Linked DNA regions of Arabidopsis thaliana. The protein of the gene in region 2 interacts with the protein of the main gene of each other region in a pairwise test. Each region holds a gene or a part of one and is shown on either strand. Other genes may lie near its edges. The genes, in order: BEL10, OFP2, KNAT5 and BLH3.

Region 1 (8,249 bases), on a different chromosome or scaffold from region 2:
AACAATATTGTAGATCTCCCTGCCAAAATGGTTGATTCATCCGTCTCAATGGTTCAATCATCCATCACAAAAGAATGATCATAGATGAAGAGGGATACACAAACCCTGATGCTGGCTTTTCAGTGGCAGCTTTAAGAACTTGGCATATATCTTCAACATGAACTCTCGACGTGAATTTACGGGACGCTCTTCTCTTTTGACCTTCAGACAAACGCTCCTGCTTTAACAAGGTATCAATTGCACTGCAGCAAGAAACGTTCCTTTTGAGAATCAGTTTTAAAGCCTGTTTAAGCACTACATACACAATCAGAAGCTGTAAACAACCTTCGACCAGGTCCATAAATACCCCCAAGTCGAAGTATTTGAGTCGAAACCCCAAGATCACGACCCAAGCTTAACCATCCTTGTTCTGCAGCTAATCTCACTTTGGCTGACTGAGTTTTAGGATTTGGGAGATGACTGCAATATGAAGGAACGACCTTATCTATCATGAACAAAAGAGATGAAACTTGGAAGAAAGAAACTTACTTTTCATTGACCCACGCACCACCACAATCTCCATACACACCTGCAAGCATCAAAGAGAAGTATTGTAAGTTCCTGTCTACTGTGGAAGCAGAAGCATTGATGTAATGAGGAAAGTTAAAAAGGAAAATACTTGTTGATGAGAGATAACAAAGCCATCGAAGATTTCCACTCGAAAGCTTGTCTCTCACAAGTTCTACATTCCGCAACATCTTTTGGAAGTCATCACAGTTAAGACAGTGTTATCAAATAAGAAATCACATTAAGCTCTAATGATAAAAGCTGGAGAAGAAAGCAAACCGGATCACCAATGTCAGCTAAAGGAGGAATGGAAATGAGTAGATGAGTGTAATCTTTCACTGAATCTAGCAAGCTCCATCTGATTAACAAGCAAACAAAAGAGTTTAAGACTCAGATTTTAGAGATTACCATCATTGAAGATCTGATTAAAACAAATACTCAGGTGAGTCTGCAGAAAATGGATGAAGATTAATTCCTCTCTTTTCCCATTCTTTCTTCTTAGAATCACTCCTGCAAGTCCCTGAAACCACCCTAAACCTCCAAAATTGTTAACACCATCGGAGAAAGATGAAAATAGATAGATATAGAGATAAGGAGAGAAACTGAGATATCAGACCAGTCTGATTCTTTGAGCTGTTGCGCAAAAAAACCTCCGACGAATCCCATCCCGAGAATGAACATTTGGTTCGGCGATTCTGGATCTGGTGCACCGGATCGAGAATCGTCGGTTGCTGATAATGGCCGGAAAAAGTTGATTCTCCTACGATTTGAAAATTTAAGTGGTGTGGGAGTAAAACGGAAAGGAATCTCCGGTGACAAACTTGGTAACTGAAAAACCGCCATTGAAATCGGAGGACTGAGAGACTCCAAGGTCTGTTGTACTTTAACTGATTCACAGTACAAAGAAACTACGTGCCGTTTTGTTTTCAAAATCAAGGACTGCATTTCGTTTTTACAGTCCAGTGATATATACTATAAAGAATCGTGAAACATTTACCACAAAAGTCTCAAGTTCAGATTTTTTCACACTTGCAAGTATCCTTTATACCACCGTGAATATTATTATACACACATATCAATATTTGGCTTAAGAGTCTACTATACACAAAAGCAACCTACACATCTACTATATAATCCATAGAGAATGGGTGTATTATGCCTAATACTATAAAAATGCAAAAGCACATTTCTTGCGCTTCAAGAATCATCTCCTCTGTACCAAGAAGAACCAGATAATATCACACAACAAAGTCGTGTAAGTGATGGGAATTGGAGAATCTGCTTTCTTGCTGGTTGCTTCCGCTAATGTAACGGTAATCATCAACACCAAACCCGTGATAGTTCATCAGAGTGTCGTAATCCGATGAGCGGTTTATCTGTTGTTGCTGTGGGTCGTTATCATTGCCTAGAACACGATCTGGTTTGGTTTCTGATGAGAAGACAATGTTTGTTGTGTCTGCAGATGAATAAGCGAGGTTGCTGTTGTTGTTGTTCTCTTGCTGCTGCTGCTGCTGCGATGAGGAGTCTTCTTGGTTTGTGCTGTTGGGTTCTTGGGAAGATTTGGAGATTAGTAACTCAGATTCATCACCAAACTCTTCTTTATACATTTCTTCGATCATCGGTTTCCACAGACGAACTCTCGCGTTTATGAACCAATTAGCAACCTAATCATTTAGCAGAGAAACCAGAATTATTCAAGCAGAACACAAAGGGTGCAAATTTTAAGTGAAGACCAAAAGCTTGGTTTATACCTGGTTCTTTGACAATCCTGTCTGCTTTGCAAGCATGATTTTCTCAGATTCTTTCGGATATCTACAAATAAAAAAAACAGAAGAAAAACATAGAGTCTCTCTAAATGTTTTGTACTGGGAGATTGAAAGATTGTGACTTGTGACTTGTGAGAGAAGAAACACTTACGGATGAAGGAAATGTTCAAAGAGCCAAGCGCGAAGAACAGAGACAGAGTTTTCAGGAAGACCTCTTTGAGGTCTCCAAGCAGGTCGAACCATTCCAAGCTGTTGATGCAAAGCTCTTTGCTGTCTCAACCGTTGATCTAAATACCTCAACCTTGGTATCCTCTCTCCTTGTTGCTCATCCAACGACTCTCCTCCTTTCTCCCCAAGTTTTTCTCTAACAATCTGAATTTGTTCCTTTATTGCGTCGCGAAGAGCACGAAAATGGCGAGAGATTCTGTTGAGAGCAACTGATGTGTAAGGCTTAGCTGATCCAAGTCCTGCTACTATCTCAAATGATGAAGCTAATGCTTCCATTTGATGGTAATATTGGTTATATCTTTTATCTACCTGCAACCATTAACACATCCACAACAACCAAATCACCATCAATCCTGTTATAAACCAAAGGTAGTTTTATGAAATGTAAGTTAGTTACCTCATCAACCATTGTTAAAAGCTTGTTCTTCTTGTTCTGAAGCTCTTCACGTTCAATTGTAGATAACTCAATCGATTTCCCATTCGAATCACTCGATAACTCACCACCTCCTCCTTCTATCTCCTTAGAACCACTGTTAAAGTCATTAACTTTCATCTTCTTCTTCCCCATTTGGTTTAGTTCTTTCTTGACACTAACCACTTCATCAAGCAAATTCTGAGCAGGTTTAAGATACCGAGAACGCAGAACGCTGCTCATAAACCCTCCTGATGTCTCATTATACCGATAATTGTTGTAGAAGCCATTCCCACCATTACCAGCATAACCAGAGGAAGGATCAGATTGACCCAACAAGATCATTTCTTTGCTCTTCACACTCATCTCATCCACATGAAACGGTGACGTTTCCTTGACTGAAATTGAAGGATTCTGACTAGTAAACCCCAATTGGTATTGATGAAAGTGAAACGGAGCAACAGAGATCTGAGTACCAAGGCTCAAAGACAGTCCTTGACCATCGTGAAAGCTTAGATCGCTGCTTGAAACGGTACCGTTTCCTGTTACAACGTCTCCTGTGGTGGTTGGTGGGATAAAAACCATCTCGTTTCGAACAGTATCGCCGCCGGTGACGGTGAAAGAAGCGGCGGCGGATGAAGAAGAAGCTTGTTGGTTTTGTTGTTGATGGTTGAGAAAGATTGGTTCTTGCTGGTAACAACCGACATTACTTGTGTAATAAACTGCCATTGGTGTTTACACCTTTTAAAAGTTTTATTACAGTGAGTTCTTAGTTCGATGAGTTTGGTCGGGAAATGAGATCCTGCAAAAAAATAAGAGGAAGAAGAGTCGTGTAAGGTGTGGAATTTTAAAAATTTCTGATGGAATCTAAGAGAGGTTAAAACATCGTAATCATTTCACACCAAACCATTTTTTTTATATATCATACATAAACAGTTTCGAAAGCAACAAACAGAATCGGACCAAATTATTCGGAGGATTAAAGTCAAATTCTTGATAAAAAGCAAATGTTTTTCGTGAAGAACTGAAGAAACCCAGAAAAACCCAATACAGGAATTGTGTAATCGTAGAGGAATACCCGATCTATGGAGGTGAAATTGAGAGGAGAAAAAAACCCTAATTTGAGGTTGGAAAAAAAAATGCAGAGTAAAAAGAAATTGTGTAGCTCAACGTAGTGAGTCAAAAGCAGAGAAGATTCAATTATTACATAAAGAAGTAAAGTGTCTTGATGATTTCATCTCTTGTAGGAGAATTTCCAAAAAGCAAGGGAGAAAAAAAACACAGAAAGTATACAAAAAATAATAATCAAGAAACACAGTACAAGATTAATCATATCAAGAATCAAGAATCAAGAACTTGAATTTTTAAAAACTACCTGAGGGAGAGAATCAAAGTTAAAAGGAAGAAAAAAAACCTAGAGATTGTGTTTGTGAGTGTGGATGTGGCTGAATCAGGAAACACAAAAGCAGAAGAGTTTCGAACAGTTGAAGACAAAAAAAGATTTGAGACCCAATCCCGAGAGAGATAGAGAAAGAGGCGATTAATAATTGCAAAATTCTTAAATAAACAAATTTTTTTCAGTCCACAAGAACAATAAAACCAACCCAACTTATCATTGGGACATTAGACACCAACCCAATTTTTAAAAATATTATTATGCAATATCAACAATAAAATAAAATAATGATCACTACCGGAAAAATTTGACAACCGCTACCTGTAATTTTTAATTTTTTGCGGCAGAAGCTTCTGTTTCTGATGCTTAGAGTAAAGATAAATTAATATGATTTTTTTTGTGTGCCAACCATTCATAGAGAAACACGTGAGAGCTTACAAATCACCAATTTTCTTTTCTTGATTACGTGATAATATTTCTTATGACGACTTTAACATACAAAACTTAACAATTCCACACACACAAATAAATGGATTTTTATAGATGATTGTATTATACTTTAATGATGTTGTGTTGTCATTGACTTGAGACTCATACTACTTTTCCGTATAAGTTAACTAAATACAACCAAAAGAAAAAAGTTGAAGGAATGAGTGTTTATATATGAAAAGTTTAGTATTTGTATATTAAAAAAAAAAACCAAATCTAACTATTTAAACGAAATAATCTATAATGCGTACATTACCATGGTATCGTGGGAAACTTTTAACGACTTCCTGATTTGTGTACGTGAGGCTCCAAAATAGTGAAATTATTACCTGCCACAAATTATAGAGTCTAGATTTGGATTTCAAACTAAAATGTTTTTTTAAACTATTTGTTCTTATCACCTTGCTTTCATCATAAAGTTAAAGTTCGATACATTTTTAATAGAACTTCTTGAGCACTTTGTAGTTCAATATCTTTGAGGTTTTCTTTAAATGTTTGATATAACGGATATACTTTTAGTTATGCATGGTAGCGGAAATTAAACTCCATCAAATAAAACATAGAAACGTCATTATAGGTAGGAATATGAGATTACAAAACTGACCCTGATAAGCTGGTTTAAGGAAGAAGATAAAACAAAGGTGGGTGTGTGTCTGCTCAATTGCTTAATTGATGGATTAAATGACTTAACAACCAGTTGGTGAGTCCCTCCTTACTCTTCTGTTATACCCAATTTTTATTCTAAGTTCTCTTGTCTTTTTATTTCTTTTGTTATAAACCTTTTAGTTATACACTTACATGTTTGTATTTGCATATTCCACAATGAAGAATACGTAAAAGATTATCTTTATAGCTACACTAATAATATAATCCATTTCCTCTGATTTTTAAAATAACAAGTAGTTTCGTTTTGGTTTGTTGGAGATTGGATTTAGAGCAGCCGACACAAAATCATTTGGCAAGTACCATTGTGTTGGAAAATTATTATTCATGTGTTTTGAGTCTTTGAGAGATGATGATATTGACTTTTGTTTCCACGTGGATCTTGATTTATAATGATGATTAAAAATAAATTAATTAGGCAGTTAGCTGGTGAGAGATTGATTAAATCTACTAAAAATTTAGATTATTAATGATGTAATTATTTTTAAAACCGTATGGTTCTGTAAATCATATTTTAAAGTTGAGGATGAATCGATGATGCTAAACGAGGAAAATGTGTGTGAGTAAGAAATGAACAACCTTTGGTTTGGAGGAAAATGTTGAAGTATAATAATTCTTGCCAATTGTCAAATATATTAATTACATGGATATATCCGAAAAAAAACTTTATAATAAATAGCCACAAGTTATGGCCGTGTAACAAAAAGTAAAAGAATTTATTGCCACATACATTGTTGGACCATATATGAAGACGGATCATCACCACTAAAATTCATGTTTGTAACATTTATATTCTATGGATCGAAATCATTATGCTCTCCATTATTAGAACCAAACAAAACCAAACCAAAATTGTATCAGCAAAACTAATCTGAAGCCTAGCTTAGCTTAAGAAAAAAAAAGAATTAAAACCATATAGTATGCATTAACTATCATCATAACTAGTTTAGTTTTAGGCTTTTAGCAAATAGGCCTTTTAAAGCCCATTATAAATATGAAGAGAGGATTCCATCGGGGGCCTGCTGAGAAACGGCAATCAACTTCCTTCTAAATAACAAAAACGGCGTGAATTGCAAACTTCTGCAAAGAGTCAACACTGATTAGCGGCTTTTCCCCATTAAATCTCTCCTCTAAACTTCTTCGTTCCAAGCTTTCTCCATCACTGACGACAGATCCTTAGAAAGTTCTGAGATCGATTGTTACTGTGTAAACCCTAGGATGTGATTCTAAGCTGTAGAGAGAAACAATGGCGAAGCCATCAACGAGTATGTGGGCAACATTGCAGAAGAAGAGATGGCCACTGATGATTCTATTGGTTTTATCTGTATCAACAGTAGGAATGATTCTCGTGAGATCTACTTTTGATTCCTGTAGTGTTAGTGGAAAGAGATGTAGCCGAGAGAAGGAAGATAACAGTGACATTAAGATCCAATCGGTTTCTGGATCGTTGAATCCTCTCGAGTTCATGAAATCAAAGCTCGTTTTACTTGTTTCTCATGAACTCTCGCTCTCAGGTGATGTTTTGTGATCGTGTTACTCTCTTGTCAAAATCTCTATGGCTAAACTTGAAGTGATGATTTTAGGTGGACCTTTATTGTTAATGGAATTGGCGTTTTTGCTTAGAGGAGTTGAATCTGAAGTTGTTTGGATCACGAATCAGAAACCAGTTGAAGAAGATGAAGTGATCAAGGTTCTAGAACACAAGATGTTGGATCGAGGAGTCCAGGTTCAGATTTAGCTAACCACCTCCATTGTTTTTCTTTGATTCGTATCATAATTGTTAGTGATCAATCTTTTTTGAATCATTCAGGTGATATCAGCAAAGAGTCAGAAAGCTATAGATACAGCTCTCAAGTCTGATCTGGTTGTTTTAAACACTGCTGTTGCTGGGAAATGGCTTGATGCAGTTCTCAAGGACAATGTTCCTAAAGTTCTTCCTAAAGTACTCTGGTGGATTCATGAGATGAGAGGTCACTATTTCAAACCGGATTTAGTCAAGCACCTTCCGTTTGTTGCAGGTGCTATGATTGATTCGCACGCAACAGCTGAATACTGGAAGAACAGAACTCATGATCGCTTAGGGTCTGTTTCCTCTCTGTAGAGTCTTGCGATATATTAGTTTACGTTATTGTCATAAGCTTAACAGTGTTTATTCTTTTATTGTTGTAACACAGGATTAAAATGCCTAAAACTTATGTCGTGCACCTAGGAAATAGCAAGGAGTTGATGGAAGTAGCTGAAGATAGTTTCGCCAAGAATGTTCTCCGTGAGCAAGTTCGAGAATCTCTTGGAGTGAGGAATGAAGACATACTATTTGGCATTATTAATAGTTAGTCATTTCTTACATTCTTTCTCTTCCTTAGTTTCTTTAAGAATCATAATCTGCAAAAGACTCAAAATTTTGGTTAATTTGCTTTCTGACTGGTGCTTCTCTTATGCAGGTGTATCTCGAGGAAAGGGCCAAGATCTATTCCTCCGAGCGTTCCATGAAAGTCTTAAAGTAATCAAAGAGACTAAGAAACTTGAGGTACCAACAATGCATGCAGTGGTAGTAGGAAGCGATATGAGCGCACAGACGAAATTTGAGACAGAGCTACGCAACTTTGTCCAAGAGATGAAACTTCAAAAAATTGTCCACTTTGTCAACAAAACAATGAAGGTAGCACCATATTTAGCAGCTATTGACGTTCTTGTCCAAAACTCCCAAGCCAGAGGAGAATGCTTTGGGAGAATAACAATTGAAGCCATG
Region 2 (6,477 bases):
CACCTTTTCTAAATCCGTGCTCTTAATCTTCACTTAGTTTACAATCATGGTTGTCAAAGTTATATCAATTATCAATCGTTAAGTTGCAGCTTACAACACATTATAGCAAGTGTGCCATTTCAAAGATATTGAATGAAAGAACAATCACCAAAATGTTAAAGAAAGATATTTTTAGTGTATACAGTCGACAAGCAACCTTAGATATAAAGATTCTTACAGATGATTAACCATTCTCAGAATACAGATTTAACACTCATCGCTGGCTAAATCAGGCATCTTCAGTGGGAAACTGCTTCTCCACATCCGCGACTGTCTTCTTTGCATCTTCGATCTCTGGACCTTCCTTCTCATCCGTCTCTTCCAATTCCGCCTGCAAATTCAGTTTTCATTAGAGACAAAAGACAGAGTACGAATTCACAGTTTCCTCTGTGTCCTTATTCATCATTTTTCCTCAAAGAGAGACTAAGATGGTTTCATGCAGGGGATTAATCCAATCGCTATAGATACATATAAAAGTTATAGTTTGATAATGTACTACTGCTCTTAAACTTCAAATCACCGCTCAGCGTTTCTTATAAACTAATACATAAAGCTAGACCGACGCTTAGCAAGCAATAACAATGGAAAATGTAGTTTACCAAAGTGGACTTGAGGTCAGCCAATGCAGACTCGAGACGTTTGTGGCAATCCGGAATCATCATCCTAGACTCACCCAACACATTTTCCTGCATCACCACATACACAGATTAGGAAAAACCAAGTCTAAACACAGCACAACACAGCATTTCTAGATTCTGACGAACAAAGACGGGCTCCGAATCTTCGAATACAGAGAGATAAACAATGAAATCTGTACCTGTTGTTTAAGGTCGTAGGGATCAGCACCTTTGTCCTTCATATCAGCAGTCTTAGCCGCTTCTCTCTCAACTTCTTTCTCATAAGAGTGAAGCTCTTTCACAATCCTTTTACATGTTGATGTTTTTATCTTCAAGTTCCTTATCGTTGCCATTGGATTCTGAGCAAGTACCAAACACAGGACAACCAAAATTAGGGTTTCTACATCACCAGCGAAACAACTCAAACGCAACGATTCTATAACTAGGTTTTGCGATCTCCTTTAAACTTCGATGTCGAATTTGAAATTGAAATAGGGCGATTAGATCAAGACTAATGTAGGTGATAATTCTACGATTCGTGCATTGCAATAGATCGGGAACATTTTGGAATTCATCGATTTCTTTTACTTGATTCCGATCTACATTGAGATCGACACAAAGCTAGATTCGATTGAAAATTAAAGGAAGATATACTGTGAAATAGAAGAAGTAGGGTTTAGAAACGAACCAGGCGATGATGGGAGAAGAAGGTTGCTTCCGATGAATTTGAGAGAGAGGACGCGGCGTAGAGCGAGGAGGAATCGAAGAACAACAATATACAGTTTCCGATTTCGATTTCTTCTTTTTCCTTTGCTTTCAATTCTGAATTATTAAAAAAAAAACTTAATACTGGATATGCACTCACTTGTGTGCTCGCATTACGACATAAAAATGTAATTTGAGTTTTATTTCATTTCTTTGACAAAAAAAAAAAAAAAAGTTTTATTTCATTTATTTACCCTTTTTTATAGATATAAAATATGTAAATCAAACTTTTATATCGTACAATTTAAGTATATATTTTGTGTTTTATTATGTCAAGTTCATTCATTAATTTTAAATTTGATACAACAAAAGAATAATGTAGAAAGTCAAGTATACAATGATGGATGAATGGATTTACATAATGCTTTTTTGGTACGTAAACGTTAGTATTTGCTAACAAAGTATTAGTTGCGTTATTTTTTTCAGAACAATCAATCCTAATTTTAAATATTTTTATTAAAAACACTATGATACATATTAATTTACATTATAATTTGTTATTGAAAATAAAAACGGAGCAATTTTGTCATAGGTTTTTTTTTTGTCAACCACACAAAAATGGTTTACAAATTACAATGTAACTTTAAAAAATGGTATACAACTACACTAACAACCATAGGTCACAAGAAACCACACTTGCTATTTTTTCTAGATCCAAATTTCACAATTTAAAACCACACAAATTTTCTAGAAGGAATCAATATTTGGAATGCCATTTAATAAAACTTTAACTGTTATTTTTAAATATATTGAATTTAAAACGAACTTTGAATGTTTGTGTAGTTTTAGACGAACAACTAATTTGTCAAGTTAGCTAGGTGATCAAGATAGAAAAAAGTTCGTGTGAATCATATTTTGTTCATGAAAATTTGGTGTAGTTTATGGTTATGAGGTTATCTCATATCTATGTATAAAATTAGAATGTAGAATTTTGTCTGACATACTTGTTTAAAACTTAAAATTATGATACATATATCACCTATTCTTTTTAATTCTTAACTTTATAATCCAAAACTGCAAGATCATTTAGGCCCATTGATTTGAATATTTGTTGCTTATGTTCACTCAGAAGTCAGAAACCATACCATATCACATGTCTTTTGCTGAAACTTCATAAGCCAACTGTGGTAGGGGATGGAATTTGCAACAGTGGTCCTCTTCTTCTTCTTCATGAGTTCATTCTTCCCTTCTTCACAGAAAAAAAAAAACCCTTAAGGATTAAATCTCATCACTGTTTCTTTCTTCTTTAATCACATCTCAGTTTTATGTGTCAGTGGTCCTCTCTCTACCTTCAACGATTATCCAATGTTCTTCATGCATATATATAAACTCCGTACTTGTTGCGTTTTCAAATTGTTCATGTCTCTTCACTGTTGTCTTTTTCTTGTTGCTGTTTACCGCCATTTTCAACTTTGTATTTTCAAAATATTCAAATGATATTGGCGCAATTAATCCATCTTCATATTCTAAGAAATAATCAAATCTTGAAGCATCATCTTTTGTGAGTAGTTTTATATGTTCATAATCATAGAGAAGACAAGAATATGTTTAATTAGTGATAAAAAAATCTGTCTTAATTAACAGTGTTTTCACGCCCTTAGTGATCATGTTTGTATTAAAACGACAATATGATAACAACTTTTATTATTTGCTTACATTTTCCAAAAAGATAAATAAAGAAAACAATACATAAAAAGTGGGATTCAAAGAGAGAATCTCCACAGTTCCATCTAACTTCTTATGAACATCAACAACAAGTCAACAACTACAATTTCACAAGCAGAATGATACTAATTACTTTCACCATTAGGTTAACTACTATTACATTAAGAATTATTTTTTTCTTTACTTTGTTTTTGTAAGTTGAAGCCAGATTTGTTCGAAAACATGGATGATAAGATCATGATACTCCTTTGGATTCAAAGTAAGGTAGCAAGCAAGAAGGTCTTCCAAGTCTTTCGAAGCTCTGATGTTGTTCTCTTCTATCATCTCAATCATTGATTCCCTGAAATCTTTCTTTGGATCAACGGACCGCTTCATCACAGCGAAGCTCTCTAGAACATCTTGTTTGCTCTCTGATCTTCTAGAAGTGCTTCTACGAGTACCTGAGAGTTGAATTCTAGGTGAATTCACTCTTTTGAGGTTTATCCCAGCAGATGGTTTTCTTCCACTAGAAACTTGCCTTTGGTACTTCTTCTCGGCTTTATATTCATTATCATCTTCATCTCTTGAAATTTTCACAGAAAGATGGCTTTTCTGCGGTTTCTTAATCGGCTTGCTTGCAGTACAAGCTTTCTCTACCGAATCAATCACTTTGACCTTCTGCTTGGTGAAAGCTTTGTTCTTTGTGTTGATCTTGAAGTTGGAAAATTCAACGAACTCATCATCATCATCCTCTTCGTAGAAACTATACACAAAAGACTCAGGGGAGGTTTCAATAGCCGGGAACAAGCTGTAAGACGAATCTTGATCGTTGATCTTGCTCTTGTTGAAACTTGCAGATACAAGAAGAGGAGGAGGAGTCAAAGGTTTAAGGGATGGCTTGTAAAGTGTCTTTCTTTTACTCATCTTTTTTGTGTGAAGAGAGTTTCTTGGTGAGTTATGGTGAGGAGGATTGTTAGCTACTAAGCTGTTGGAGAAATAAGAGTGTTGAGGAAGAGAATCTGAGGAAGGTTTCTTCTTGCTACAAGTGTTTGAGGAAGAAGAAGAAGCTTTGTTTTTGGGTTTAGAGTGTTTAGTCACGTCTTTGAGCTTGTGGAACCATGCATTTGGGAGCATCTCTGAAATTCTGAACTTGTAATTCCCCATCTTGTCTCTCTCTTTTTCACAAAAGTTTGTGATATTTCTCTTAAGAAAACTCTGTTTTTGTTTCCTTAGATAAAGAAGAAGGTGAGAAAGCAAAGTTCTCTATGTGACAGATAAAGAAGAAACTGAAGATTAAAATTGGAAACTAGTGGGGCTACTACTAGAAAAAGCTTAAAGAATGTCTTTTATTAGTATCATCATCATTCATCATCAACATCAACTTGAGACATCACATTTACACGCTTGTGCTCACATAATTAATAAATTTATTTTATGGTGAATTTTTAAAATTGGTTGACTAATTGAAATTGTATTTGGTGAAAAACTGAAAATCATAAGAACATAACTTTTATCTAAAATATTATATAATTAAGGGAATAGTACAAAAATAATTATAAAACAGAGAATCAGTTGCTTCTGATTTCTGACAGATTTCTATCATCATTTCATGGAGATTTTACTCTTCATCGAAATGATAAAATAACTGAAAAATGTAATTAGCGAATTATAAAACAGTAGCAAATGTAAACAGTTTTAAAGAATACACAAAAAGGTTGACCAAATGGCAATTACAAAAGAAAAATACAGCTTCTTTTCCTCGAAGTATGCTTTTTGATTGAAAATATTAAAACGTTTCTAAACGGACAAATCAATTTAATAAATAAAAACAAAGTTTTCACAATTCAACTAAAAGTTTAACATATGTGAATCTATCTAGGTTAAAGACTCAAAGTACACGTTATAATGAAGTTCAATAGTTTCATTTCGATGCTTCTTTGAATTTGGTAAAGTGTGAACCTTATCTTAAGTTTTTAGGTAGAAATAATTTAGTATAGTAGCACTTTATGTTATATTAAGGTGATACAGATACACAAATGATGAAATTAAGATAATCAAATATGTTCCATTTTCTCCTCTGAATAAAGTGGGATCAACTTTTGAGTCATAATAATGAATATGAGAAATTTTTTGGTCTACTTTGTCCACTAACGCCGAACATTTTGAGGACACTTTTTTTCTTCTTCTATACATTTCCACTTTCCAGATCAAATGTTTTGGCAACTACTTATCTTTTAACTTCGAGAAGGAAAAAAATGATATTCAAAAATCAAAATAAAACATTTTCCATCCTTACTTTAAATAAGCACAAGTGATTATTCATATTTAAAAAATGGAGATATTTTCACTAGACGTGGGACTGGTTTATGTTCAACAATGTTGACCTACCAATATATCAACGACTTTTTGAGTATACAAAAACAAAACTATCTCATCATATTGGATTTTGTTTATAAGCAAGAGCCACCAAACATTTGCAATAAGAAAACCTTTTCTATTCTCCATTGTTTTTAAAAACTTCATGGGACTCCACCATCATGATCAGTTTCACACCCAAAGACGTGAACTCCACGCAACACAAGCCAATCCTCTAACCTTATACACACCAAAACAAAACAAGAAGCCAAAGAGGATCACAACAACAACATCATCACCAAAAAAGCTTCAAGACAATGAGAGTGAAAGCAACTTTGATTAACTTCAAATCAAAGCTTTCGAAATCATGCAACAGATTTGTCTCTCTCTTCCGCTTCCGAGTTAAAAGACCTGTCTTTATTAGACCTCTTCGTGCCCGTCATGGCAATGTCAAACCTAGACATCAACATCATCATTCCAAGAAGCCAATCTGTTCTTGTCTCTGTTTCCTCAATTCAAGCAAGAACCATAAGATGAGCAACGCCAAACATAGAAGTTCCTCTTGTAAGACAACTTCGCTACAAAATCTGTTTTAACATTGAAATTTTATCAGCTTCTTGATCTCTTTGTTCTCTTATTTTGCCATTGCAGTTAGTGTGAACGATGATGATTACTCCAAGTTTATGCAATCACCTCTTACGCCAGCAACAGCCAAGAAGCTCTTCACTTCACCCATCACGACACCTTACTCTTCACGGACCAGGAAATCGCTGAACGCAAGAGATACATTTGAAGACAATGCTGTGGAAGATGCTTGTAGAAGCTTTGAAAACTATCTGATTCATCTGATTGTTGAAGAAGGGAAAATAGATGACTTAATGGACATAGAGGAACTTCTCTTCTGTTGGAAGAATCTTAAGAGTCCTGTCTTCATTGAACTTGTCTCAAGATTTTATGGAGAACTCTGTAGAGACTTGTTTTCAGGTGAATGAACAGATCTAGTTAAATTGATCAAAACAAAAATGTTTTAAATCTGTATCTGTCAGTACTTGTGGTT
Region 3 (7,302 bases), on a different chromosome or scaffold from region 2:
GATGGGTAGATACCGTTGCTTCAAGAGAATGTCTTCAGCAGTTGAATTATCTTTAGGAGCTTCATACTTCTTGTAAGCGAGATCATTTAACAATACAGAAATTTCAACATGCGATGACTCTAATACCAACAGAAGACACCTACAAAAGAAATCAGAATGATATTAATCTTTATGTCACTAGGAAAATGTAGGTTAAGTGAGAGTGTAATACAAAGATGTTGTATTTACCTATCAGCTGGAATATCAACATTGGGTAATTTTACCCCGCCGAGAAGCCACTTTTCACCCAATATTGACATCATATTCTCAGCCAGAATCAACGCATGAAGCTTTTCGGAAGGTGCTACACATGAACAAGACAGGTTTCTTAAGTATCTTGAGAGGATTGTTGTCATATAACAAGTAGATGAAATTCAGGGCTGGCAAGAAAAGAATGCCATTAATGGGTATGCCATTTCCAGTGTTCCAAACAAACTACTAACTTACCCACACGGTTCTGCAGAATTGCCACAACACCTGTGCGCATATAGTCTGCCCAATTGTTGTCGGGCATGGAACGAAGAGGTTCATGAAGAAGTTCCTAAGCATAACGAACTTCTATGAGAGACATATAAAAAGATAAGCACACAAAACAAAGATGTAGAGCTTCTACAATGGAAACATAACATGCATATTAAATAACATCAAGACGATGAAGGCAACTGTATTTCTCCAAGTAAAGGAAAATAAAACTTTAATTTTTCCAATTTCAATGGACAGAAATTTTGAAAATTTAGCTGCATTAAATCTACATAAATCATGCTAGTAACTATAGATACTTTTCCGGAGGAAGTTAAGAAGTGAAAACTCACAGAATACTCTGACGAGAAGACTGCAGACAGTAAATGGAGTGCTTCAAACTTCAGGGCATTATGCAACACCGCAAACTGCCGTGCAACAGCAGCAATCTGAATAAAAGTTAACATTATGTTTGGAGTCCAACTTCAGCATTGCAGCTTTAGTAAGTATTGCGAAAAGAAAACAAAAAGTAACCAAGTAAGTAGACTCACCACCAAAGACAGTTCTAAGAAGCGTTCAATAGTCATGCTCCCACAATCAAGCTTACTAACCAATAACTGCAGAATCTTTATAGCAACCTCCATGGCATGTGAACCTGAATAACATGTCTCACATTAGCTCCCAGTGAAAAACTATTATCAAATCCATCTACCTCAACATGGCACGTTTTCTTTGACACCAAATATAATCAATCCGAAATAGCATTCAATGGAATCTAATGTGCATCATATACACAACAAAAGAATGTAAACCCAATGAAAGAGTATGTATTACCATCAGGTAACTCAGACATCTGGGGAGCTATCACTCTCAAGCCTCCAGAGTTAATCAAAGTCATGAGACCAGCTTCACAAGCCGTGGACACCAAATACAGAAGCTCATAGCAATCTTCGAGCATGTTTGTAGTTATTCTGAAATTCCAAAAGCCAATTTCCTAACTTTAGGCAATCACAATATGCAAAAAGTTGAAGACACAGAAGCAAAGCTTGATTAAAAAAAAAACTTCATGGAAAGTCGCAAATGCAAGAATCAGGTGATCTAACATACCCTTTGGACATTACTTCGAGAATAAGGGGAATTCTGGAGACCATCTCTTCTGAAGAAGCTATCTCCGGAACACGGCAGAATGCAGCAAGAACAGTGATAGATATCTGCAGATACACATCACGATTATCAACCCCATCGCCACTGCCACTACCTGCAAAACAAAAAATCGAAACCAGTCAGAGCAACAAACTTTAGTATCTCAACTAAAAAATTCACACTTTGTAGAAACCCCAAAATTGATATTAGTATTTACTGAGACAAAGATCAATAATTCGGGGTTTTGATTACCAGTACGGAAAAGACGGTCGAGAAAGTGAGTACCAACGGCTTCGTAGACCTTGTTGAGAGAAACGATGTCATCGTTCTTACAGAATTTGGTGACGAGAAGTAGACCGGCGAGCCTCTGCTCGTCTCTCTCCCCTTTCAATAGCTTAAGGCAATCGTCAAGCGACGGAGATCGTTCCTCCTGTGGTGCTGCTGCCATAATCACCCAACTCAAAGAGTAACAAAAGTAGACCAAGTCGAGAGAAAGGTAAGCAAAAAAAACTAAAACAAAAGCCGTTCGTTGGAGAAGCTGAAGGAAGAAGAAACAAGTCATTAAGTCGGCATTCAGATTTTGGGCCAAATACCAATGGGCTTTGTTAATAATACAAGTGAAATCATTTAAAATTATCGATATATTAAAAATTGAACCATATAAAAACCGAGCCGAACGTAACCATGCATCAACCGGTGAGAGAAATCAGACGAACACAACAACATCGTAATACTACATTTCAAGCTAGTTTAATTATGATAAATATTGCTTGATACATTCATTACAAACGAACATATTGACACTTTACAAGAAAAAACCCACACTTGCTTAAGCGTTCGTTACAAGACGCAAACCAACGAAACAGATCACTTCCAAAAACTACTAAGTCGTTACAAACAACAATTTGGACTCCAGAATCCGGTTTCATAGGCTAACCGGTATCCACTATACAAATAACACACTCTGTACGAGCATAGAACCGGATTCGTTTCTTTCATATACGGTTCCCAAGAATTCACATGGCAAAGAACCATCCTCTAGTTAGCCGCTATGTCACCTACGACTTCCCGGTCCTGAGTTTGGTTACAAAAGAAGATCTTGACCGGGTTGGTTTAATGAAATTGCGCAATTTGAAAAAGAGAACGGATCTTGTTTTACCGTTTACGTTTGTTCTTGGTGAGAGTAGATGACGTGGAAGAGTTGCTGTTCCAGTTTCTTTTCCTCTGGTTGATGAACCAATTGTTGATCTGTTTCAACTGCAAACCGGTTTCTTGAACCAGTTTTGCCTTATCTTCCTCCTGCAATTCCAAAACCAAATCACGAATTAAAACCTTGCTTTTGACAATGTGGTAACAAAACTTCTCGGCCAAGGTGTTTACAGTTGGGTATGGCCATTTCGAGTGAGTTCGCCACCATTCTTTGAGTACAGAAGTCGTATCTCCTGGCAACTTTCCCGCCCTTCTCTTCCTCATTATCTCTTCTCTTATGTCCACAATCTTCTCTTTGAAACCCTACAGGGGAAAAAAGAAACCGAGCAACATGATTTAACAATGTGTTTTGTATAGTTTGATGTACCATTGCAGCTTGATCAAGCAATTACCTGTTTAAGCTCATGCTTCAGTTCTTTCTTCACACGTTCCATCAAAGATCTCTCTCTCTCGGTTGGAACAAGAGGACCAAACCCCATCAAGCAATCTGAACCGTCCAAACTTCCATCAAACATGTTCACCTCGCTCTCTACTTGATTATCATCTTCATCATCCGACATTGTCTTACCATTACTTTCACTTGGAGAAACTCCTACAAACCAGAACAAAGAAAAACCGATAAAACCAAGACACACATAAAGCAAGAAGACAATAACAAAAAAAAAAAATGATTTGGGACGTTACCAGTTAGGGATTGCAGTGATTGTTCAATCTCCCAACAAGCCGTAATGGCTTCCATTGCATGGACACAAACGTGGTGTTGGAGTTGTTCTTTAAATGAACATAACAAGACAACATAATGTGACTGCATCAACATAATAATCAAAGGTAAGATTCCAATCCATAAGACATACAAACAGAACGTTACAAAAAATAGATTATGCTTTCTTTCTCTTGGACATGCAAAGTCCTTTTCAGCAAGAATCAGACAAACTATTAGTCATCAAAGAAGAAGCTTTATGCAACAAATATAACTTATTTGAGTCAGACAAAGTTCATAATTCGAATTACAAGCTAACCAAAAAAGTAGAAGCAAAGATCATATCGATTGCAAGACTCGAGAAGCGGGAACAATGAGCCACACAAAAATGTGAATTTGCTATACTCAGATAATCAAAGAGAAATAAATGGCTGAATCGTTCACAGTTCAAAACATTAAAATTTTGCAAAATTAGAAAGTGAAACTTACCATGAAATGATCAAGTTCCTTGTTGTCAACAACCACACCAAGAGTGGAGTATTTCGCGGCGACGGTATGCAACTGACTGAGCTGAGCATCGATCCTCGGAATCTGGTCAACGGGAGTCGCAACCCTAAGGCAAGCCACGTGAGCCGCAAGAAGCTGCTCGTACATCGGATGTCTTAAAATCGCCGCCTTATAGCTAGCACTCCGCCAATCTTCACCTCCTACAACGCCGAGTATCGTTTCACCATCGGCGTTGACTCCGTCGATAACTTCAGAACGTACTTCTCCAGTATTTTGCATCTCCGAATGAAAGGAGAGCCAGCGTGGGTTTGTATCAGCAACGGAATTGTCTCCGTTGCGGTGCGGAGGAGCGAGATCGGAATCCGCAGTGGTAAGGGTGGTAGGGAGGTTGAGGAAACTGGCGGTGACAAGCGAAGGTGTTTCAGAGAAGTGACGCTGCGGCGGAGGTTGCTGTGATTGATCGGTGAAGTGTCGGAGAGGAAGGTCTTCTTGTGGAGGAAGGAGGTGGGAGCTGTTAAACGACATTGTTTTCCTGCGTTTTTGGGATCGGAGAAGAGAAGACTGTTTTCTCTTTCCCCTAGTTATTTATCTCTCTGAAGACCAATATTTTTTAATTAATCTTGAATTTTATATTTATATATATTTTTTTTTTTTTTGGACTCTACTTCAATCTCTTTGTTTTAATGTCAACATAAAGCCTGTAACCAAAATGAAGCATAAAATAACTCAACCTACAAGAGCCTGTAATTCTGTAATTCACAAGTTTTGTGAGCAATGATTTGCTTACAAAACTTCTGTTCTAGAGTGTAATTTTCTTCTTTAGGTCTTTATTCTCCAAATTATGATAAGTATATTTACCATTAAACTCATTGTAGATATTTTTAAAACCCAGATATTTTTTTCTTTTTTACATGAAGGAATGTCATTTTTTTTTAATCTCTATACACAAAAGACTTGGGATCCATGAAAAAGAAAATAAGCTCATAAACAAGTTGGCAATTTTTTCTCAAATTTATTGGGCATTTAAAAACGAATCTTTTTCCATGAACACGCCGACAACCCACCAATAGCATTACACCTCCCAAGTTTATATTATAAAAATTCAAATTAAATAGTAGAAAAATGAATGTCCAAAGAGATTGATAGATCTTCTTGTCTTGGATTAGTTGAGCGGAAACTAGGGTTTTAATATAATAATGTATGGAGAATAGTGAAGAAGAAAATGTTTGGAACATAAAAAGTCTATTAGTTGTCCTACTTTTTCCTCTTTACAATTTCCAACAAAAGCTTTTAAATCGGTACAAAGAGAAAGAAAGAAAAAAAAAAGTAGTTAATTTTGCATTAAAAATTGATAACACCATCTATTTAAAACAAATTTTTTCTTCTAACACATCAAATTAAAGAAAACAGAGAGGGAGGGAGGGAGGGAGTAAAAAGTAAAAACCTAATTTTCACCCTCTTCCTAAGAAAAAATCAAGAAGTAATTGAGCATTTTACCCCAAAAAAAGAAGGAAACGGAAAACCAGAATGTGACGGGAGAGTTTCATTACACCACTTATTACATTCACTTTTCTTAGTTGACATCTCTAGCTCCCTTCTTCCCTTCACTATAATTCGATCGCAAATCTTCATATAGGCCAGTTTTTAGCTAGTTCCGTACAATATCTCTTCCTCGGATGGCGCCATGTTGAGATCAGGGAGGACGAAGAAACTCCCCTGATTTTGCGAGTCACTGGTTTTGCAAGATTTTGATCCCTGTAGCCGCTCGAGTTGTGATTTACGAATCAAATCAACAGGTTTCTTGTTTGTGACACGGCCTGAGTTTAAGTCAAGCTGAAACAAGAAAACACAAGAGTCGATGAGACCAGCAAATAGAGAGAAGGGATCTGGAATATCTGATTACTGTAAAGATGGTTAGGGAGAATCTAAATGTTACCTTAATCCTCTTCAGCTTTTGGTTCCTAAGGTTTTGTTCATCGAATGTTGCTCGGAGACTTGCAATCTCCTGTGGAAAAATATTGGGTTTTTTTAAGAATACAATGAAAACCATGATAATAAAACAGAGAATAGCAACGAAAATCTACCTTTTCAAGGTCAAGTCTCTCCTTCAACTTCAAGTTCTCTTCATTTTTAAGCTCAAAAGATGACTGCCAAATATTAAAAGAATAAAAAACCATCAGCTCAATAAAATTTGAATTTTGGAGTGTGTACTTGAAATTCAAAAAGGAGACTTTATATTTACCTTCCTCTTCTTCAATCTCTTGGAGAAACAACTGGTGATTTCGTTTGTGGGAAAAACCTGCAAAACAAAAACGCATTTGATTAGTCAACTATTAAATGGCTGAAGATAACGACAACTGTTTTACTTTTATAATCAATACCCAAGATCTTATTTTAACATACCGGTAAAAAGTTTCTTTTCCCACAACAGAAATTTCAAACAAGTAAGAAAAATATATCGAAGAAACCAAATAGAGCATAAAATTAAAAAATCTCAAATATATAATTGGGAAAGAATTTTTATAGTGAGGATTTGATGCCACATCATGATTATTCCGTGTCATGGGCATTGTCATCTATCGTCATCACTCTTTTAAAGATCACGTGATACCAATCTCTCCGACAAGATCATTTTACTCGTTTCAACTTTCAACCCACAAAACGCTACCGTCTCGAGCATCAAAACGTTCAATAAAACGCGGACGCGTTTGACCAACTAGCTGTTAAGCTGTACTACCCCCAAAATCTAAAAGGAGCTTTAATTATTCCTCAAGACAAAATTAAAGTTGACCGATTTCTAAAAATCCACATCTAACCGGCCACGCAAGATCCGGTTCAATGCGTACCGAGAAAAACAGGTCTCTTATTAAGCTTTGTTACAGAAGATTAGTAGAGTTTTCTAATTACAAAAAATGAGCAGAAAACAAGGAAATTAAGCTTAAAGTGGCTTTGACTTTTTGGAGATTAGATGAATTTAACCTAGAAGCAGGATGGCTCCGGCCGACGGTGTCATCGGCGAATCACGGCGGAGGAATTTTTTCCGGTGAATTTGTTAGAAGTTGAAGAAAACAGACTAAATACGTTCTAGTGAGAATTGAAGCGTGCGAGAGATGACGTCAGGCTAAACTTTATGGATTTTAGGAAAAAAAATGAAGAAAAACAGAGAGACGGCCAAGGATCTTCTCAATTACGAACGGCTAAATCCAGATTTATCGGCCAGATCGGAATCGGATTATCCAGCGAGA
Region 4 (7,944 bases), on a different chromosome or scaffold from region 2:
AGAACAGCATCAAGCCATTTCCCAGCCACAGCAGTATTAAGAACAATCAAATCAGCCTTGAGAGATGTATCTACAGCTTTCTGACCCTTTGCAGAGATAACCTGAAGTCAGATACCAAAAATAAGAACTTGTCAATTAACAGAGCTCAAGACAACATCTTTCCAACAAACTCTGAAGTCTATTGGTAGGAACTACGAGAGAACCTGAACTCCTCGATCCAACATCTTGTGTTCAAGACTATAGACAACTTCATCATCTTCAAGTGGCTTTTGATTAGTGATCCAAACAACGTCAGCACCAACTCCTCTTAACAAAAACGCCAATTCCATCAATAGCAAAGGTCCACCTTTTGTCACACAAAATCAATCATCACCTCAAAAAAGTATGATTTTTTCGAGAACCCAGATCAAATTAGAAATCAAATCAGCAGAACCTGAGAGTGATAGCTCGTGGGATACTAACAAAACGAGCTTCGATTTCATGAAATCTAGAGGATTCGATTGAAACTTCGCGGCGCTGCTTTCTCCATTCTTTTCTTCCACGAATTGGCTACTAATGCTACAGGTTTCAAAGCTAGATCTCACGAGAATCATACACACTGTTGATACAGATAGAAACAACAAAACCATCAGTGCCCATCTCTTCCTTTGCATCGTCGACGCTTTGACCATTGTTTTCCTTTGCTAAAGACACATCCTAAGGTTTTCAATAGTCTAGATCTTCGCAAATGACTCGTCGAAACTAAGCTAAAGATCTCAAAAATCAAACCTTTGAAAATCAAATTCGAGACGAGAATGGGCAAGAAATTGGATCTCTGAGTAGAACTGTAAAGTGAGTTATACTGAGAAGAACCTTGAAAGAAAATTTTGATCTTTAAAGGTTTCACAGTGCACGCCGTTATTGGAAGAACGTCTTGCCGTTTTTAATCCCTCTGGGCCACTTAAACCCGCATATTATTATGGGCTCTAAAAAGGCAATTATGTTCATTAACATAGAAACTCCAGTCTCCACTTTTAGTTTGTATCACGATTAATGAGGTTTAAGATACTAATGACTTTCACATCTCATGCACTGAAAATTTACTGTGTGCTACGTTATTTTATGTTTTGAAAATGTATTTTCACTGGTGGAATCAATCTTTATGGCAAGAACAACAATATTTCCCTTGTTAGTTTAAATACAAAATATTTATGATCATAAATTGTGGATCGTGCATATATAATTTCTCAAACGCTATACAGATAGAGACTTGAGTGTAACGCAAAACTCATATTAATCTGTGAACTGTAGTATTACTATTTACCTGGGAACATCTAATTAACCGTACCATAAACTCTTACTTTGTTGCCATTTACATGTAGTTTAACCAGATTGCTCTTGAAAATAGGAAAAACTCATGTGGTTAAACGGTCCGACTATTTATGATTAACAACTGCGATTAATTATATCTTAAGGATATTAATTATTATTAGCTGTCATACCATATAGCTAGGTGTACAAAAAGCTTTTTGTCCAAACAAAAGCTGTTGATTTCTTACTCGTCATTTCCTCATTTAGCACTATCATCATCACTCATCATCGATTCATCATCTTCTTCAAATTATATACTCACGATATGTATAATATTATTATTCATAAGAATACTCATCATAAATAGCTTTAGAAAACCACATTCATTTAACCTATTTTAGAAAGTTAAAAATATTTGATCCTTTCAAACTTTCCCACTGTATATACTCCCATATTCAACCAGCTGTGTGTAGGGTTTATCAGTTGTACATTTAAAAACAAACAAATAATCTACTCATAAATATATAAAATTTCATAAAAAAAGAATTTGTTGTAACACATTGATTCTCCTTGAAAGGTTTGTGTCGGCTGTTCCAATCTATGACAAAACCGAAACTCAACCAAAAACAAAAAAAAACATTAAAGAATAAAAGAAATAAACGAAATATACAGAAATTGAAATAAGAATAACATTTATTAAGATGGACACAAAGCCGTTAGCTTCGTTCCGTTAAGGAACGTCTCTACGAAACAAATTGGCGTCCAAGTCTTTCGTTTTTGGCCACTTTCACCAACTTCGCGTCCGACACAGCTACCTTATTTATTTCATTTTTCATCATCTTCTTTCGAATTCTACTTTTTCTATTATTTATTACACAACCTCCTTAGATCCTTTGGGACATGGAATCGACCCATCATAACTTTTCTTTTCATTTTATTGTTTTGCGTATAAATACATTTTCTTCATGTAGGTCAAATGAATCACTTGATTATTTAAGAAAATATGTTTATTTGTTAGTCAACTAATTGGATTTTTTCGTTCCAAGTAAGGAAATTGGGTAGTCACCAACTGGTTGTTAAGGTCCTTTAATCCCTCAATTAAGCAATTGAGCAGACACAACACTTCTTCCTCAAAGCAACATTTCTGGCAAATCAAAATTCTCTAGGCCTAGGGATACTTTAGTAATTTTAATTACTTTATATTCAATATATTGATTTGTTGACAATTCTACTTATATCTTTATTTTTAATATGTAAATAATAGGAAGATATTGAAAAAATGGAGTTAATTAGTTTCCTCTTTTGCACGTCACTTAATAAGAGTATGTGTGTCCAATGTATTACGCGAAGAAACAAGTATATAACGTATAAACAGTAGGAGACCTCAAAAGATGTTTAATTTTAATTTTGATCACAATCTTTTTAGAGAGTTCCGTCGTTATAATAATTTAACAATTATACATCAAAACATCATAGATTAGTTATGAAGTATCATGTCACGTAACACATGTTTCTCGTTCGCTTATAACCAGGGATCTGCAATTATGTAAAGAAATTAATAAAAGCATCTGTTGGTTCAGACTAACCCATGATTTTATCATCACAACCACAACTAATTTGAGATTGCTTGAGTTAATTTAATCTAACAAAGCTTTGGTGGAAAATTTTAATAGTAAAAAATTTCAACGGTTGCTTGAATTTATGTCCAAGCTATTAATTAAACTTTATAAAAACATAGAATACGAAAACTCAACTCTTTTCTTCATTTTAAAAAACATACTTTATTTTTAATTATATTTATTTGAATATAAGCACCAAGTCAAGTCAATGACAACACTGCACAGTATTCCTTCTGGTTCCAATAATATTCTTTTGTTTTATCAGATAACTTGAAATATAAATGCATATAAAAAGTCGCATTTGTATAAATATTCTCCATTATCTAACAATAATCCTATCAGAGAAAAGGAAAAAAAATATGAAAATTTCCGCTCACGCGTGTTATTCTCTAAATGGTTGGCACAGAAAAAAAACCAACAAAAAATTATTAATTTTAATATAGAAGCTTCGGTTGGAATAGAAAAACAAACAAAAAAGAATTACTGGTAGAGAATAGAGATTGTCAAATTTCTCCATAGGTTAGTGATACACTGATATTTTATTAAACATTAATTAAAAAATCTGGGTTTGTTGTCGAGGTTCCAATGATAAGATGGTTTGGTTCTGTTCTTTGTTAGTGAATGCCAAATAAAGTTTTAAAATAGTATCGGAATTTAATAAAAATCGTCTCTTGGGATTGGGTGTCTTCTCTTTCTTTCTCTCTCTTTTTGTCATCGACTGTTCGAAGTTCTTCTTCTTCTCCCTTTTTATCTCTCTGTTCCCTGATTCAGCCACATCCACAATCTCTCTTTCTCTTTTGTATAGTTTATCATCTAGCTCTTTCTCAGGTTTCATTTCTTTAACTATAATAATTCGATTGTTCTTATTAGTAGCTTCTTGATTCAAAGCTATATGATTGACTTGTTGTACTCTGTTTCTCTTTTTACAAAAAGATTTCCTTTTTCGAATTTTATCATCATCTTCGTCTCTGTTAAATTCTTACAAAAGTATGAAATCATCAGAACTTAAAAAAAATTAACTTTATATCTTTCATGATTTCAAACATCATCCTCTGTTTTTGTTTGCGTCACTGAATTGAAGTGGAAACTTTACCTAGGGTTTTGATATCTTCTTGACCTAAATTGAGTATTTCATATTTTTTTCATTTCTTGAATTCATCTGTAATTGCGGCGTATATAGAGATTAAGATGTTTTAACCTCTTTAAAGAATTGTTCTTTTATTTATCCAGTTTCAGTTTCAAACTCACACGTCTCTCTCTCTCTCTTTCTCTTTTTTCAGACAAAACATCAATCGGATGAAACTCACTTAAACAACAAAACACTTTCGATTTATTATCCAATGGCTGTGTATTACCCTAATAGTGTCGGCATGCAATCTCTTTACCAAGAATCCATTTACCTCAACGAACAACAACAACAACAACAACAAGCTTCTTCTTCCTCTGCTGCATCTTTCTCCGAGATTGTTTCCGGTGATGTTCGAAACAACGAGATGGTATTTATCCCACCAACAAGCGACGTAGCCGTCAACGGAAACGTAACGGTGTCAAGTAACGATCTAAGCTTTCACGGTGGAGGACTTTCTTTAAGTCTTGGTAATCAGATCCAGTCAGCTGTCTCTGTTTCTCCGTTTCAGTATCATTACCAGAATCTTTCGAACCAATTGAGTTACAATAATCTTAATCCTTCTACTATGTCTGATGAGAATGGGAAGAGCTTGAGTGTTCATCAGCATCACTCTGATCAAATTTTACCTTCCTCTGTTTACAACAACAATGGTAATAATGGTGTTGGATTCTACAACAATTACCGTTACGAGACATCAGGGTTTGTGAGTAGTGTACTGAGATCTCGTTACCTTAAACCAACACAACAATTGCTTGATGAAGTTGTTAGTGTAAGGAAAGATTTGAAATTGGGGAATAAGAAGATGAAGAATGATAAAGGTCAAGACTTTCACAATGGGTCTAGTGATAACATTACAGAAGATGATAAATCTCAATCGCAGGAGTTGTCTCCTTCAGAACGTCAGGAGCTACAGAGCAAGAAGAGCAAGCTTTTAACAATGGTGGATGAGGTAAGACTAAATCAAATTTGAATACTTTAAAGTGAGAGAGAGACTTTGGAGTTTTGAGTTTTGAAAACATTTTTGCAGGTAGATAAAAGGTATAACCAATACCATCATCAAATGGAAGCTTTAGCATCGTCTTTCGAGATGGTAACAGGTCTTGGAGCAGCTAAGCCTTACACATCCGTAGCTCTGAATAGAATCTCTCGCCATTTCCGCTGTTTACGCGACGCGATAAAAGAACAGATTCAGGTGATCAGAGGGAAGCTTGGGGAGAGAGAGACTTCTGATGAACAAGGAGAGAGGATACCGCGTCTTAGGTACTTAGATCAACGGTTGAGACAACAGAGAGCTTTGCATCAACAACTTGGAATGGTTAGACCAGCTTGGAGACCACAAAGAGGCTTACCTGAAAACTCTGTCTCTATACTTCGAGCTTGGCTCTTTGAGCATTTCCTTCATCCGTAAGTTTGTTGTTTGTAAGACACTTTCTTTCTGCTCCTCATTGCTTCATTGATAACCATTTCAATCGTTTTTGTAGATATCCTAAAGAATCAGAGAAAATCATGCTTTCAAAGCAGACAGGACTATCGAAAAACCAGGTTCTTATTGGCTCAATCTTTGGTCTTGCTTTTATATGAGTGGTATTCTGATTCTTGGCAATTTAGGTTGCAAATTGGTTTATTAACGCGAGAGTTCGACTATGGAAACCAATGATTGAAGAGATGTATAAAGAAGAGTTTGGAGAATCAGCAGAGTTACTCTCTAACTCTAATCAAGACACCAAAAAAATGCAGGAAACATCTCAGCTCAAACACGAAGACTCTTCGTCTTCGCAACAACAGAATCAGGGAAACAACAACAACAACATCCCATATACATCTGATGCAGAACAAAACCTAGTCTTTGCAGATCCTAAACCAGACCGTGCTACTACTGGAGATTACGACAGCTTGATGAACTATCATGGGTTTGGTATTGATGATTACAATCGTTACGTTGGCCTTGGAAACCAACAAGATGGCAGATATTCTAATCCCCATCAATTACACGACTTTGTTGTCTAAAAGATTCCTGAGCTTTTCACAAGCTTAAGAACTGGCAATGCCAGTTGATTGGGGGAGTATGATTCTTGAAGCGCAAGAAAATGCGCTCTTGGCATTTTTATAGATAGGGGTTATACAAATATGTATATCTGTAATATTTGTTGTGGCATATATAAAGGATAGATTTTGTGAAAACTTTAGGTGTTAGACTTTACATTTGTATATGAAAATTGAGCTTTGTGTACACTTTGGTAAGCCGATATTGTAATGTTTTTGTTTATAATCTTCATGATGGTATAAACAATACTTTTAAGTGTGAACAAACTGAAAAAGATTTGATCTAATTTCCTCATTTTGTTACAAGAATTGGAACAGATTTTGAGTTCCTCTGAAACTTGTGTAAACAACGAAACGTTACACAACTTTTTAAACATTCTCTGTAAATGGTTGGCAAATTCTCAAATCTTTTCTAAAATGACAAGTTTGTTTCATTACTGAAAATTATCCCCACAGGTTACAATGAAACACACAAAATATCCAAAAAGAAAGTTAAAACACAGCTCTAAAGGCTATAGCTGAACCTGAATATCTGTTTTATACAAAGCTTTCCTAAATAACCCGCATGCCTCTGATCCAGATGGAGGGGTTTCATCATAGCGGAGATGTCTGATTAAGTCCCTGAAATGTGTGTATTATTGGTTATTTACAGGAATGTTTCATTTCTCTAGCAAATCAGGATTGAATATTCAGTGTATGGATCTTTACCTCTATGCTTGAAGAAGACCGGTTATTTCGATGTCTAGACCAGAATCCCTTCTTCAATGCAGAGTCTTTGGACGAGGGTTTATTCCACTTGGAGCTGATAGAAGCAAAGTGCCATTTCAAGAATGACTTATTAGACGAGCTCTTGCTACTGCAACTAGCTTCCAGCTTGAGAGCTTTGCCTTCTCGTTTCCCCATTTTCTGGAATACAAACTCATCGCATTCACTCTCACCGTAACTATCTACCACACGGTTTTTACATCTTTTGTACTGCTTTGCCTTTGCTTCCGCCTCCGCTTTTAGGGCTTTCCTTGTTATTTTCGCAACCCGTTTCTCCCCAATTGTGCATATGGGACAAGCAGGATCATACTTCTCTATATCAGTAGTCATGGTCTCTAAGCACTCTGCGTGGTAAACATGACCACAGGCAAGAACAGCAGCGATTGGGAGCTCAAAAGTGGCTATAGAAGACCTCTCGGTTAGCAACTTTGAACAAGCTCCACAAACCTGCTGATCAACAACGGAAGGGGAGAATGAGAATCTGCTGCTACCACCACTTAGTTTCCGTCTGCCAGAACCCAAGTGTTCGCTATCAAAGGACCATCTATCCCTTTGAGAATATGCCACGAGCTCAGAAAAAGTGTTCATAGACCAGCCACCTTCAGAAGATGCGTACTGGGATCCAGTGGCGAAGTCATTGCTACAGGTCGAAAGCACAAAGGACGACCTTCCTTCTGAGATTGAGTAATTATTAATTGGGGATTTCAGTCCTAAAATTTGACTATCAGAAACCTGCCTAAACAACTGATGCCCAGGTGAACGCCGAGCCCGTCTTGATGGTGTGGATTTAGGAGGAAGCAAACGCGTGTGAGCCGATGAAAGATCACTAACTGGATTGGGAAGAGAAGGCGTGGAGAACAAAGGCTTCGATTGAGCTGAAGGGACAATTCCAGGTGAGTCAACTAAGTTCTTCACCTGAAACAATGAAGATCCAACAAGGGTTAAAGATACACCGAAGGAAAGAAAAGAAAGCTTCCACGAGAGGAACACTAGAGTCAAGTCGATCATCTCACCTCAATGAGATCACTGCTTGCCAAGGATGAACCTGCCGCACAGAAAAGCATAACATAAGACACAGCAGGAATACGATACGCAAGA

Evidence for each region.
Region 1: the proteins of OFP2 (region 2) and BEL10 interact in a two-hybrid assay, tested with the Arabidopsis thaliana proteins (one large-scale study listed by BioGRID).
Region 3: the proteins of OFP2 (region 2) and KNAT5 interact in a two-hybrid assay, tested with the Arabidopsis thaliana proteins (one large-scale study listed by BioGRID).
Region 4: the proteins of OFP2 (region 2) and BLH3 interact in a two-hybrid assay, tested with the Arabidopsis thaliana proteins (one large-scale study listed by BioGRID).

Annotation. Positions count from the first base shown.
Region 1 is NC_003070.9:6,808,174-6,816,422, forward strand, and holds BEL10 (BEL1-like homeodomain 10), read right to left. Parts: upstream 4,891-8,249; 5' UTR 4,670-4,890; intron 4,585-4,669; exon of another isoform or gene 4,031-4,584; intron 3,822-4,030; exon of another isoform or gene 3,755-3,821; 5' UTR 3,682-3,754; coding exon 2,938-3,681; intron 2,850-2,937; coding exon 2,464-2,849; intron 2,359-2,463; coding exon 2,298-2,358; intron 2,211-2,297; coding exon 1,785-2,210; 3' UTR 1,592-1,784; downstream 1-1,591. Other genes in the region: AT1G19690 (NAD(P)-binding Rossmann-fold superfamily protein), read right to left, coding at 1-19, 105-242, 325-459, 529-568, 659-737, 826-904, 985-1,077, 1,163-1,389; AT1G19710 (UDP-Glycosyltransferase superfamily protein), read left to right, coding at 6,747-7,014, 7,084-7,226, 7,311-7,582, 7,675-7,829, 7,942-8,249.
Region 2 is NC_003071.7:12,954,344-12,960,820, reverse strand, and holds OFP2 (ovate family protein 2), read right to left. Parts: upstream 4,377-6,477; 5' UTR 4,230-4,376; coding exon 3,267-4,229; 3' UTR 3,014-3,266; downstream 1-3,013. Other genes in the region: KIS (tubulin folding cofactor A (KIESEL)), read right to left, coding at 269-370, 639-725, 857-1,009; OFP17 (ovate family protein 17), read left to right, coding at 5,738-5,984, 6,072-6,412.
Region 3 is NC_003075.7:15,491,407-15,498,708, reverse strand, and holds KNAT5 (homeobox protein knotted-1-like 5), read right to left. Parts: upstream 4,721-7,302; 5' UTR 4,583-4,720; coding exon 4,040-4,582; intron 3,656-4,039; coding exon 3,535-3,655; intron 3,443-3,534; coding exon 3,243-3,442; intron 3,154-3,242; coding exon 3,022-3,153; intron 2,941-3,021; coding exon 2,801-2,940; coding exon of another isoform or gene 2,797-2,800; exon of another isoform or gene 2,716-2,796; coding exon 2,700-2,715; 3' UTR 2,328-2,699; downstream 1-2,327. Other genes in the region: AT4G32050 (neurochondrin family protein), read right to left, coding at 1-139, 229-343, 487-580, 852-947, 1,050-1,153, 1,333-1,469, 1,606-1,756, 1,894-2,089; AT4G32030 (uncharacterized protein), read right to left, coding at 5,702-5,890, 5,994-6,062, 6,142-6,204, 6,300-6,356.
Region 4 is NC_003070.9:28,298,196-28,306,139, reverse strand, and holds BLH3 (BEL1-like homeodomain 3), read left to right. Parts: upstream 1-3,411; 5' UTR 3,412-3,737; exon of another isoform or gene 3,738-4,189; 5' UTR 4,190-4,249; coding exon 4,250-4,987; intron 4,988-5,065; coding exon 5,066-5,442; intron 5,443-5,519; coding exon 5,520-5,580; coding exon of another isoform or gene 5,581-5,619; exon of another isoform or gene 5,620-5,646; coding exon 5,647-6,045; 3' UTR 6,046-6,354; downstream 6,355-7,944. Other genes in the region: AT1G75420 (UDP-Glycosyltransferase superfamily protein), read right to left, coding at 1-101, 204-346, 434-671; AT1G75400 (RING/U-box superfamily protein), read right to left, coding at 6,676-6,702, 6,790-7,761, 7,860-7,891. UniProt on the Arabidopsis thaliana protein: Transcription factor that is responsive of the nuclear import of SHOOT MERISTEMLESS (STM).